Yarrowia lipolytica: one gene and its partners. The protein of the gene in region 1 interacts with the protein of each later gene in a pairwise test. Links are inferred from orthologs where the notes say so. Each region holds a gene or a part of one and is shown on either strand. Other genes may lie near its edges.

Region 1 (3,753 bases):
AGGATGGATCCACATACACTCAACCCGCTTGCATGCATATTATCACCCAAAGTGGGGTAGCCGGAGCGCCAAATGTCACACCTGACCTGAGTCCGTTTGGATCACGTGAAAATGACAGAATAATTATTGGTAAATCTCGGTACTCGTGTGTTCTGTTCCATACATACCAACGCCTTCCACGCCAAAGTTATTTGAAACGTGTCGATTTCTCTTTTGTTGAAAAATCAACTTTCACAGTCCTCCCAATGAGCCGAGCCATATAGCCGAACACTTCACACACACCCCTTCATCCGAACATCAGCAATAAGTACAAGTTGGTACAACCGTAGTTGTAAGTACATACTATACTCGTAAAGGTACCGTGAGTACAACATTACCACCCGCGTCTTCGCTAAATATAATCACTTAATTACATAGCCGTCACCTTCTAACTCATGACACATTATTACTTACTAGATTTTGGTTCAGTCACACACTCATGCCAACTCCGCTAGATCCAGGGAGTAGCGCCATAGTCGTCGTGACCTTGTCCAGGAGGAGCCGATGCACCGGGCTGTCCAAACTGTCCCAGCGGTTGCTGTGGCTGCTGCTGTTGTTGCTGGGGAACGCCCTGCTGAGGCCCACCGGGAGCGGTGCCTGAGCCGGCAGCGCCGCTGTTACCCTGGCTGGTAGGGCTACCCTGGATGCGCTGCTGCTCCCGTCGTAGCCGTGTTCGCCAGTCGGACTGATCGGTATCTGCCTTCTTGTCGTCGTAGTAATCGAGCTGCTGGTTCTCAATGTCAAAAAGTCGCAAAGGGGGAGGAATGTCCCAGTCTCCAATTCGGGTCTTGAGATCTGGCCGCTGGGATGGAGTCTTGGCTCGCATGCCCTGCTGGGGAGGCACACCCTGGCCCTGGGCACCTGCTGCCAGAGCCTCGCCACCGGCTCGGGGAGCCTGCTGAGGTTGCAGACTCACCTGCGAGTTGGAGGCTCCCTGAGAAGCACCGGCGGCGGCAGGAGAAGCGGAGTCCCGCTGCTGCTGCTGCTGCTTGTTGGGGTCCTCGTCCTGACCCTGGCCGGCTGTGAGCTGCGACTGCTGGGCTCCCTCTCGGCCTCCCATGCTGTTGATGACCTTTCTGTATCGGAACACGGTCCAGTCGAACACGTAGTCGTATCGGTAGTTGGATCGGATGAAGAAGTCCTTCATGAGGCGACGCAGATAAATGTAGTCTGGTCGGTCCTCGAATCGCAACGATCGCGAGTATGACAAGAAAATGGCAAACTCGTTGGGCAGGCCCTTGGTGAGCGTGTCTGTGCTGGTGGTCATCTTCTTCTCCATGATCCGGTCGTACTTCTGCTTCTTGGTTACTGCCTTGAGACCCTGCCACGGGAGCTGGCCACGCATAAAGTAGATGAGCACGTATGCCAACGACTCGAGGTCATCTCGACGCGACTGCTCCACGCCCAGATGCGTGTTGATGCTGGCATAACGCGCCGTGCCCGTCAGGTTCTTGTTCTCACGGTAGGGAATATGCAAATGGGTTCGGGGGTCTCGGAATCGCTTAGCCAGGCCAAAATCTATAATGTTGACCTGGTTGCCTCGGCGGCCGATGCCCATGAGGAAGTTATCGGGCTTGACGTCTCGGTGGATGAACGACTTGGCATGCAGATATTCGAGTCGGGTGATGAGCTGGTCGGCGAGAAGAACCACCGTCTTGTACGAGAATCGTCGCTCGCAAAAGTTGAACAGGTCCTCGAGCGAGGGGCCCAGCAGATCCATCACCAACGCATTGTACTCATTCTGTGAGCCAAACCATCGGATGAAGGGGATGCCGGTGCCGCCGGCCAGAGTCTTGTACACCCGCGCCTCGTACTCTAATTGTGGGTGTTTAGAGAAGATGTTTTCCAGCTTGATGGCCACCTCTTCGCCTGAAATGATGTTGACGCCCAAGTAAATGTCGCCGAACGATCCGCTTCCGATTTTTCGCCGGATCTGGAATTTGTTTGCAATTCTCACGTCGCTGGGTTAGTATGTGTGTGATTAGTTGATGTGTGGGATGGGCGATCGTGCGAGCAATAGTGCGAGCAATTTGATGCAGCAGCAAAGCGTGGGGGGGATGCATCGGGTGGTTCCACGGCTGCTCCGCGGAGGAAAGTGCAACGCCAGACCATTCGTTGCCGGTGACATCTATAATATCACATCGCACATGATGCAGTCACATAAGTCAAGTGTCATGAGATGGTGGGTGTGGACAGCCACGACGATAGCAGCGGCGAGAGACTGACACCTCAACAGCGTAGCATGTCATCGTCAGCATGTCATCACCATCACCATCATCATCACATCAACTGCCACCCTTGTCACCCATCACCATCCATCTCCTTTTGTCATTCATCACCCTCCTCATCTCATACCGCATCACGACAGCTGCCCTGTCGCGGCAGACAATACTCACTGTAGAAGCGACGGAACCGAGTTGCTAGAAGACATGGTCGACGGTCGGGGGAATGTCTTGGTCCGTGAGGGGCGATTTGGAGCTTGTGCTTGTGTCGAAACAAGTTGTTGATTTTGGAATGTGGGTGCGGATGTTTGTGGTCGCTAGAAAGTAGAGTCTGGTAGATTTTGTTTATTGAAGCGTGTCCAGAGAAAACAAGAAATAAAGTACTCTAATCAGGTGACGTGGGCGCCGGAGTAAGTGTCGCTTGTTGGGCCGGCCAAACTTTGGTTAGTGGAGATTGGTGCCGCTCGCTCTCGGGGTGTTATGTCCGGGGTCGAGAGGGTGGTTGTATGTGGTAGGGGCTACGTTTCTCAACGACGATGGGTGGTGGGAGAGGGGGAAAAATCAGGTTGGGAAGGGTTAGGGTACAAGAGCAAAAAAGGCAAAACCCGCCGACTACTGCCTGGAATGTGTATTGGGCAGTTTGATGACTGTTCAGAGGTTATCTGGGAGGCGCCGGGTCCCTATTTGTGTCTGTTGGCCGTGGTTGCCATCTGGGCATTTTCATTGGGGCAAAAAAACCGATTTTTCCCCTCCAAAAGCCGCTCCCACAAACCCCCCTTAACTCTTGTCACGCTCTCTCCACGCACACTCACCTTACAGTGCACTCTCTCTACACTGCATATTGGTGCCAGTATCACTGGTACATTCACTCGTATGTACTGTAGCTATAGTATAGTGCTTGCAAGGAATACAGTCCCCCTAGAATAACCTTGGTAGCTTACAAACAGAACATACAAGTGACAAAGATGATATATATTAAGACACCGAAGACGGAGAGCCCCTCCCCAGGTATAATGCTTAGTAATCCCCGCCTGAATCAATCTAGATCGGAAGAGAGGGTCAGCAGGAATTACGCACCACAAAATCTATATCTTGCAGCAGCCGACACGGACATGCGGCGACACGACCGTCAAAATGCACAAGAACTGCCCAAATCAAATGTAACATTGTTCGGGAGGGTAATGACGGGAGCCAAGCTTGTTTTGCGGTGTCTCCAGTACATACGATACATATATGAGTATCCATATGGCTACAGTCCTGGCCCATGGACTGATGATGGACAGTCGCCCTAGTGCCAATATTTATTAATTACTCGCACAAGTACAAGTACAAGTACATTAACTGGTAGCTACTAGGCTGTAACTACTGTTCTGTATCCCTTCGCTGTTAGTCCCTATTAATAAAATGCTTTCTCAAACGGGAAATTACACTAATTATTCACCTGCTGTACAACACTATATATTATCCAGACGAATAAAATAAAACAGTCAAA
Region 2 (3,753 bases), on another chromosome or scaffold:
TGCACAAGTTTGTACTGTACGTGAATTAGGTGTGGAGGAAGTTACAGTAAGTGTGTACGTAAGACGTGTTAGTTGGGGTGAGGAGGTCTGAATGTGGGCAGTTGGGTGGCGCTAGACAGGATGATTTTTGGCCCTGAATAATCATCGTGCATCTGCATTCCAATTTCCGCATTACATTCGTCTTGTCGTTACCAAAATATTCCCTATATATAGACCCTCCATTCCCACTCTTGTCGTTGTCACACATTCTCCCACCACTCATTTAGGTTCGGACGTGAATGTCCCACCTGTTACCAACGACCTGGCATTTTCAACATTGAGTTCACTTTGCTTAGGTGGCCTATTCGACACAACAATCAAATGGTGAGTGTGACAAGGCGACGCGATGGGCGATGCTGGCGAACTGGGTTGATTTGATGACACAAACCGATGGCCGACACATGGCTCCGTGTCTCTTGCAAACCGACCAATCGAATCCCTTAGTGTGGGGTTGATCGCCAATATGAAAAGACACGGGGGATGGATTTGATGAGCAACAAAAGACACAGAAGAGATGGTGTGACACAGACGAAAGCAATGTGATTAGGACCTCTGGATGACGTGATCTTTGCGCCAGTGTTGCACTATTGAATCAGCCATTTTATCAACCGACTAGGACAGGTATTCGTGTGCCCGTTACACGGTGTTTAGTACAAACATTGATGTGGCAGTTTGTGACAATGTTACAATTGTGTGACAAGTATACTGATTGTTTCTGTGTCAGCAGCTTGGAGCTGGTACGCTACGCTGTGTTTGTGTCCATGTGCTTTTCGTGGCCTACCTAACATCACGTAACGGTGTCAGCTTGGCGCGCTGTTGTGTCGTGATTGCAACTACAGCTACTTGCTTCCGCTTGGATCCAGGTGGTGTCTTCCACTGCGATGGCAAGTGACACGCATGGTCACGTCGCGCGTCGTCCTCGACCTGCGGCTACTCCCGTTACCCGTTTCCGTTTCGTACTAACCCAGGACTTTGAAGAATTCGAAGAGAAGGACGGAGTGCGATTCTCCTGGAATTGCATTCCCTCTACCCGAATTGAGGCTTCCAGAACCGTCGTTCCCATCTCGGCTCTGTACACTCCTCTGAAGGAGAAGCCCAACCTCCCCGTACTGCAGTATGAGCCCATTGCATGCCGACCCCCCTGTCGAGCTGTGCTCAACTCCTTCTGCCAGGTTGATCTGCGAGCCCGAGCCTGGGTCTGTCCTTTCTGTCTGTCTAGAAACCAGCTGCCTCCTCAGTACCGAGACATTACTCCCGAAAACTTGCCCCACGAGCTGCGACCCGAGTGCACCACTGTTGAGTACGTTCTGTCCCGACCTGCTCCCAACCCCATCTTCCTGTTTGTGGTTGACACCTGTCTGGACGCCGAGAACCTGACTGCTCTCAAGGATCACCTTGTGGCCACTCTTTCTCTGATCCCCGAGAACGCTCTCGTCGGTCTCATCACCTTTGGCGCCATGGCTCAGGTCCACGAGATTGGCTACCGAGAGTGCGGCAAGAGCTTCGTCTTCCGAGGTAACCGAGATTACACTGCGAAGCAGGTGCAGGAACAGCTGGGTCTCAACCAGCCTATTGGTCACCGAGTCCCCCAACAGGGAGGACATCCCCAGGCCCAGGGAGCCGCTGCCCGGTTCCTCCTGCCTCTGCAGAACGCCGAGTTCGCCCTCACCAACGTTCTGGAGGGTCTGCAGAAGGACCCCTGGCCCGTGGCTGCCGACCGACGACCCATCCGATGTACCGGTGTGGCTCTCGGAATTGCTCTCGGCCTGCTGGAGACTTCCTTTCCCAACTGCGGTGCACGAGTCATGCTGTTTGCTGGTGGTGCCCCCACTGAGGGTCCTGGTATGATTGTGGGTCCCGAGCTCAAGGAGCCCATCCGATCTCACCACGAAATTGAAAAGGACACAGCCAAGCACTCCAAGGCTGCCACAAAGTTCTACGAGGGTCTGGCCAAGCGAGCCACCACCCATGGCCAGGCCGTTGACATTTTCGCCGGTTGTTACGACCAGATTGGTATGCACGAGATGCGATCTCTGCCCAACTCCACCGGTGGAGCTCTTGTGCTCTGCGATGCCTTCTCCACATCCATCTTCAAGTCCTCGCTGACCAAGATGTTTGCCCGAGACGCCAACAACTTCCTCCAGATGGGTTTCAACGCCACCTTTGATGTCGTGCCCTCCAAGGAGCTCAAGGTATCTGGTCTGATTGGCCACGCCGTTTCAATGAACAAGAAGAACCCCAGTGTAGCTGACACCGAGATTGGTATTGGCCAGACTTCTTCGTGGAAGATGTGCTCCATCACTCCTGCTCACACCTACGCGACTTTCTTCGAAGTGGCCCAGCAGCAGGGCACTCCTGCAGGCCAGATCCCCCCTGGATACGTGCAGTTCCTGACGCATTACCACCACTCGTCCACTCAGCAACGTCTTCGTGTGACCACTGTTGCCAAGGCTCTTGTGCCCGGTGGCGATCCCCACATTGCCAGCTCCTTTGACCAGGAGGCTGCTGCTGTGCTTATGACTCGAATTGCCATTTTCAAGTCCGAGACCGAGGACGGCAACGACATTATGCGATGGACCGACAAGATGCTGATCCGTCTATGCCAAAAGTTTGCTGACTACAGAAAAGACGACGCGTCTTCGTTCCGACTCGCCCACAACTTCTCGCTGTACCCCCAGTTTATGTTCCATCTACGACGATCGCAGTTCCTGCAGGTGTTCAACAACTCGCCCGATGAGACTGCCTTCTACCGACACTGCCTGAACCGAGAGAATCTCAACAACTCGCTTATCATGATCCAGCCCACCCTGCTGTCGTACTCTCTGGAGCAGGAGCAGCCCGTGCCTGTACTGCTGGATTCGGTGTCCATCAAGCCCGATCACATTCTGCTGCTGGACACCTTTTTCCACATTCTCATTTTCCACGGAGAAACCATTGCCAACTGGCGAAACCAGGGCTACCAAGAAAAGGAGGAGTACGCCAACTTTGCTGAGCTTCTGCAGGCCCCTCGAATGGAGGTCCAGGACTTGCTGGTTGACCGATTCCCTTTGCCTCGATTCATTGACACTGATGCTGGAGGTTCCCAGGCCCGTTTCTTGCTGTCCAAGCTCAATCCCTCCAACACCCACCAGAGCGACAGTGGCTACGGCACTCCTGGCAGCGCCGTGGTGCTTACTGACGATGTGTCTCTGCAGACTTTCATGTCTCATCTTCAGAAGTTGTCTGTGGCTGCCTCCTCTTAGGGTTAAGTAATGTTGTAAGATTAATTTGTATTGTTGGATTGTCGAGCTGGGAGTTATACAGTGGTGTCTTCTATACACTGTATTGTCTCAAGTACACCACTCCCTTGCATGCGACCCCGTATCTGGCGTTAGTGAGACATGGTTGTACGATACAGTGGAATATATGTTCTTTGGAGCTAAAAAGTTTCAAGGAGGCACTGTATGAGCTGTGCGAGTGGGGTGATGATATGATATCGCGATAGCTGTGTAGATGCAATGTAATTACTCCTTGAATTGACTCAATTAAATGTAATAAATAGTATATAGAATGAAGGAATGAAGCATATAAACAAAACCAATCCACATTATAAATATATGTTAGTGCTCTCTCTCTCTCTCTTTCTCGTTCTGTATCTCACTGTTTCCTAATGTCCTTCGAAGTCCGGTGAAGAGTGGTACTCTGGAGACGAAAAGTCGGGAGAGGTATGTGCAT
Region 3 (3,753 bases), on another chromosome or scaffold:
ATCTGAACGAAGAACAAGTAGCGTCTCCTTCCAAGAGAATAGGACAATAAACGACCCCAGAAGTTGCCCGTGTAGAGACTAAACAAAGTAGGATTACCCAATATCTCGATCTTTTCCTTAGTTAGCGTGTATACGACGTAACCCTACACACAGTGTCGGTACGAGTAACGGTCCGAGTACAGTATGTACATAATGCTACCTGTACTTGCATTGTAGTTGTAGTTTGGTGAAGTATGCACGGTCCAAAAGTAGCTCCAAGTACTTGAAATCTCGATAACGAAATACAGGTGAGAAAGGAGGTGAACACAAATGCCTCAGCTTCGGAGGGGACTAGGCGTGTTTGTCATGGCGACACCGTCGAATTTGGGTTATCGAGTACCGTCAATTTACAGCTCACGATCATTTCATTGTTATTTTCCCTCCCCCACCCCTTTTTTTGTCTTTTGAAAACCGCCTGATATGACCGATAATGATAGTGGCGTTATTTTTTTTTTTTTCTGCATATATATCCAGCAAGAGGGGGGTGCGTCAGTTTAAGTTCTACAGTAGATCTAAACGACAGTATGGGGGAGTAAATACAGAAACGGTGTAAGTTTTTCATACGGGAAGTGTAAGTGGTCTATCAGTAAGAGAATCAACTTAAGCAGATATAATAAACATATCTGGTCTTTGAAATCTCTCAAACAACGTATTGAACACCGCCATTACTCCGACTTTTAGTTCCTCCGGATCCACCCTACACACGTGACATCGTGCGGCTCAACAAACCCAATTCAAAATAATAGTCGTCTGGCATAAGCATTTGGCAACGCTCAGAACAAACTTACCAACTAACCGTCTTTGAAAACACATGCCTGGTGTCTTCCGTTTGGATAGACCAGATGGAGTTACAGGAACTGCAAGAAAACGAGGCGGAGGCTTTGAAGGCCATCTACATGGACGATTTTGTTGACACCACAAAGTCATCTGCATGGAACGTGAGTACTTGTATCCAAGAATGAGGGATGAATAAGTGAACCAGTGACGCTAACATAGAAAACGCCTTCGCCATCATTTGAGATTCACATGCGATCGACCGACCCGGACGCCGAAGATGCCCTATCCAGTTTAACGCTCCAGGTCGAGCTCACGAGTACCTACCCCAAAACGGTCCCTGTTATTCGCATCAAAAACCCCAAAAACATTTTAGCATCACAGGTGGCCAAGTTAGAGAAGTGGATCGCCGCCACCTGCAAGGAGCTCATTGGCGCAGAGATGATCTTCGAGGTCACCTCGTATATCCAGGAGCGACTGGAGGATTTTCAACAGAAGGTGTCCACCGCCAGTCTGGAGGAGGAGCGGCAGATGAAGATCGAGAAGCAACAGGAGCAGCTACGAAAGCAAAAGAGCGACGAGGCCAAAAAGCGGGAACAGGAAAACGCGGAGGAAGACAGAGTGCTAGAGATGATGGTTGTGGAGGAGCTCAAGCGACGCAAACAGCGGGATGATGAAGCGCAAAAGGCGCTTACTGCGGAGCGACAATTGTCAAACGGCGGCCCAGTCATGGCCGATTGCATTGAGTTTGACAGAATAACAACAATCTCGCGAGCAGGACACCCAGCAATCAGTTTCAGAAGAGTAGGAGGACAAATACCCGTGCGAGGGTACTCTTTTGGTAACAATTTTTTGGTGCGGCCCGTGACAGACCCACCAACCGACATATCCCTGCTTCTCACAGAAGTTAGACTTCAGGGCACATACTGGATCCAGGCAGAGGGAAAGAAGATGATTCAACTACTCGAGTCTGACTTGGACAACTTGAGAAAGTTTCGACACGAAAACGTCATCAGTCTCTACGACCACAAGTTCCAACGATGTCCAGATACTTCCGGATGGACGCTATACCTACTTTCCGAATATTCTCCTGGAGGAACTGTGTCTGATCTGCTTGATACCGTGGGTACCGTGAGTCTCAAAGTGACACGAGTATGGGCTATTCAACTACTCGAAGCCCTGGAGGCTATCCACAAGGCTGGATTGGTTCACAAGAGTGTCAATGTGGACACTGTGGTCCTTTTTCGAAACGCAGAAATTGGAGAAACAGTGGTCAAGTTGGGATACACTGTTTTTGGTCAACGTCTTAACGAAATGAATTCGGCGTGCACATTTGATATGACTGCCTCTGTTTCATCGATACAACACGACAGTGATGCTTGGTCACCTCCTGAGCTAGTGCAGCAGAGTGGAAACAAGCAGACGCGTAAGACAGACGTGTGGGCTCTGGGTGTGATGCTTCTTCAGACCTTCATGGGTAAGCAGGTGACGTCAGAGTATTACGGACCTACAGATGTGATCAACAGTCTGGATCTGGGAGATTCCCTGGAAGAGTTCCTTCGAAAAATGTTCATGCCTTCTCCCAAGAAACGTCTTTCTGCATTTGAGCTCTTGCCTTGTGAATTCCTTCGAACTGGTGTCGACTCGCCAGTGAAGTTGGCGTGTGCTTCCAGCAGTGGTGGAAAACGAGGTCGAGGAAGAAGCATGTCTACGGATGGACGACCTCACCGGGATTCCATGAGTGGTCTTTCCATGTCTCGATATGCTCAGGACTTCGAGGAAACGGTTTTGTTAGGACGAGGTGGCTATGGTGTCGTTGTGAAGGCTCGCAACAAGTTGGATGGCCGTTTCTACGCCATCAAGCGAGTTCAACATACAGCAGACAAGTTGACTTCCATTCTAACAGAGGTCATGCTGCTGTCTCGTCTCAATAATCAGTACGTGGTTCGATACTTTGCTGCGTGGTTGGAAGAGTCCTACGACTATCAGGATGAGTCTGCCATCGAGGACTACGATTCAGAGGAGGAGTGGAGCGAAAGTGTTTCTAGAGTTGAAACATCTGTCAGCGCGTTTCCTGCCCGTCTCAACGGCTCATACGACCAAGATACGTTTGACGAGCTCTCCATGAACGCCTCGGTGGACTTCATCTCCAACTCCCTGCATCGAGAGTATCCTGAGATTGAATTCGGAGTCAGTTCAGAGGATGATGAAGACCGCGAGAGTGACGATAGCGACAGCGAAGACGAGACTTCTTCGGGGAGCGTATCAACATCTTCTCCCATCAACAGCAGACACAAAACTACCGTCAAGACTCTCGTTGGAAAGGCTGCTCTGGCTGAGCTGCGTGACTCTCCTCGACACAAGCAAGACAAGTCTCTGGTAAAATCCACCCTATTCATTCAAATGGAATATTGTGAGAAGCACACTTTGGCGGATTTGATCAAGCAGAACCTCTCATCTAAACCTGAAGACTGCTGGCGATTGTTTGGCCAGATTCTTGATGCTCTGAGCCACATTCATTCTCAGGGCATCATCCATCGAGATCTCAAGCCTATGAACATTTTCATTGACTCATCTGGTAATGTCAAGGTCGGAGATTTTGGACTGGCCAAGAATATCCATACTGGAACTTCTCTGGTTGGTGCCGGTGCAGGAACTGGTGGGAGCTCGTCTCAGTACACAGGTGAGGATATGACAGGCGACATCGGTACTACGCTGTACGTCGCCAATGAGGTATTAGCCACAGGCGGGGAGGCCAATTACAACGAGAAAGTTGACATGTACTCTTTGGGTATCATCTTTTTCGAGATGGTGTTCCCCATGAACACTGCGATGGAGCGTGTCTACATTCTTCGAGACTTGCGCAACCCTAAGGTCATCTTCCCTCCAGCGTTTGAGGCTTCTAAGTACAACGAACCTCGTAAGATCATTCGAAGCTTG

Evidence for each region.
Region 2: the proteins of YALI1_F11658g (region 1) and YALI1_E20269g interact in binary tests that used the Saccharomyces cerevisiae proteins (3 or more experiments, as listed by UniProt). The link is inferred for Yarrowia lipolytica from reciprocal best matches to the Saccharomyces cerevisiae genes HRR25 and SEC23.
Region 3: the proteins of YALI1_F11658g (region 1) and YALI1_B19602g interact in binary tests that used the Saccharomyces cerevisiae proteins (3 or more experiments, as listed by UniProt). The link is inferred for Yarrowia lipolytica from reciprocal best matches to the Saccharomyces cerevisiae genes HRR25 and GCN2.

What each region holds. Positions count from the first base shown.
Region 1 is NC_090775.1:1,163,833-1,167,585, forward strand, and holds YALI1_F11658g (uncharacterized protein), read right to left. Parts: upstream 2,471-3,753; coding exon 2,436-2,470; intron 2,001-2,435; coding exon 491-2,000; downstream 1-490. UniProt on the Saccharomyces cerevisiae protein: Protein kinase which phosphorylates serine and threonine residues. Can use casein as a substrate. Phosphorylates elongator complex member ELP1/IKI3 on 'Ser-1198' and 'Ser-1202' which promotes the tRNA modification function of the complex.
Region 2 is NC_090774.1:2,024,044-2,027,796, reverse strand, and holds YALI1_E20269g (uncharacterized protein), read left to right. Parts: upstream 1-920; coding exon 921-3,281; downstream 3,282-3,753. Other genes in the region: YALI1_E20229g (uncharacterized protein), read right to left, coding at 3,686-3,753. UniProt on the Saccharomyces cerevisiae protein: Component of the coat protein complex II (COPII) which promotes the formation of transport vesicles from the endoplasmic reticulum (ER).
Region 3 is NC_090771.1:1,959,345-1,963,097, forward strand, and holds the start of YALI1_B19602g (uncharacterized protein), read left to right. Parts: upstream 1-881; coding exon 882-977; intron 978-1,035; coding exon 1,036-3,753. UniProt on the Saccharomyces cerevisiae protein: Metabolic-stress sensing protein kinase that phosphorylates the alpha subunit of eukaryotic translation initiation factor 2 (eIF-2-alpha/SUI2) on 'Ser-52' in response to low amino acid, carbon, or purine availability.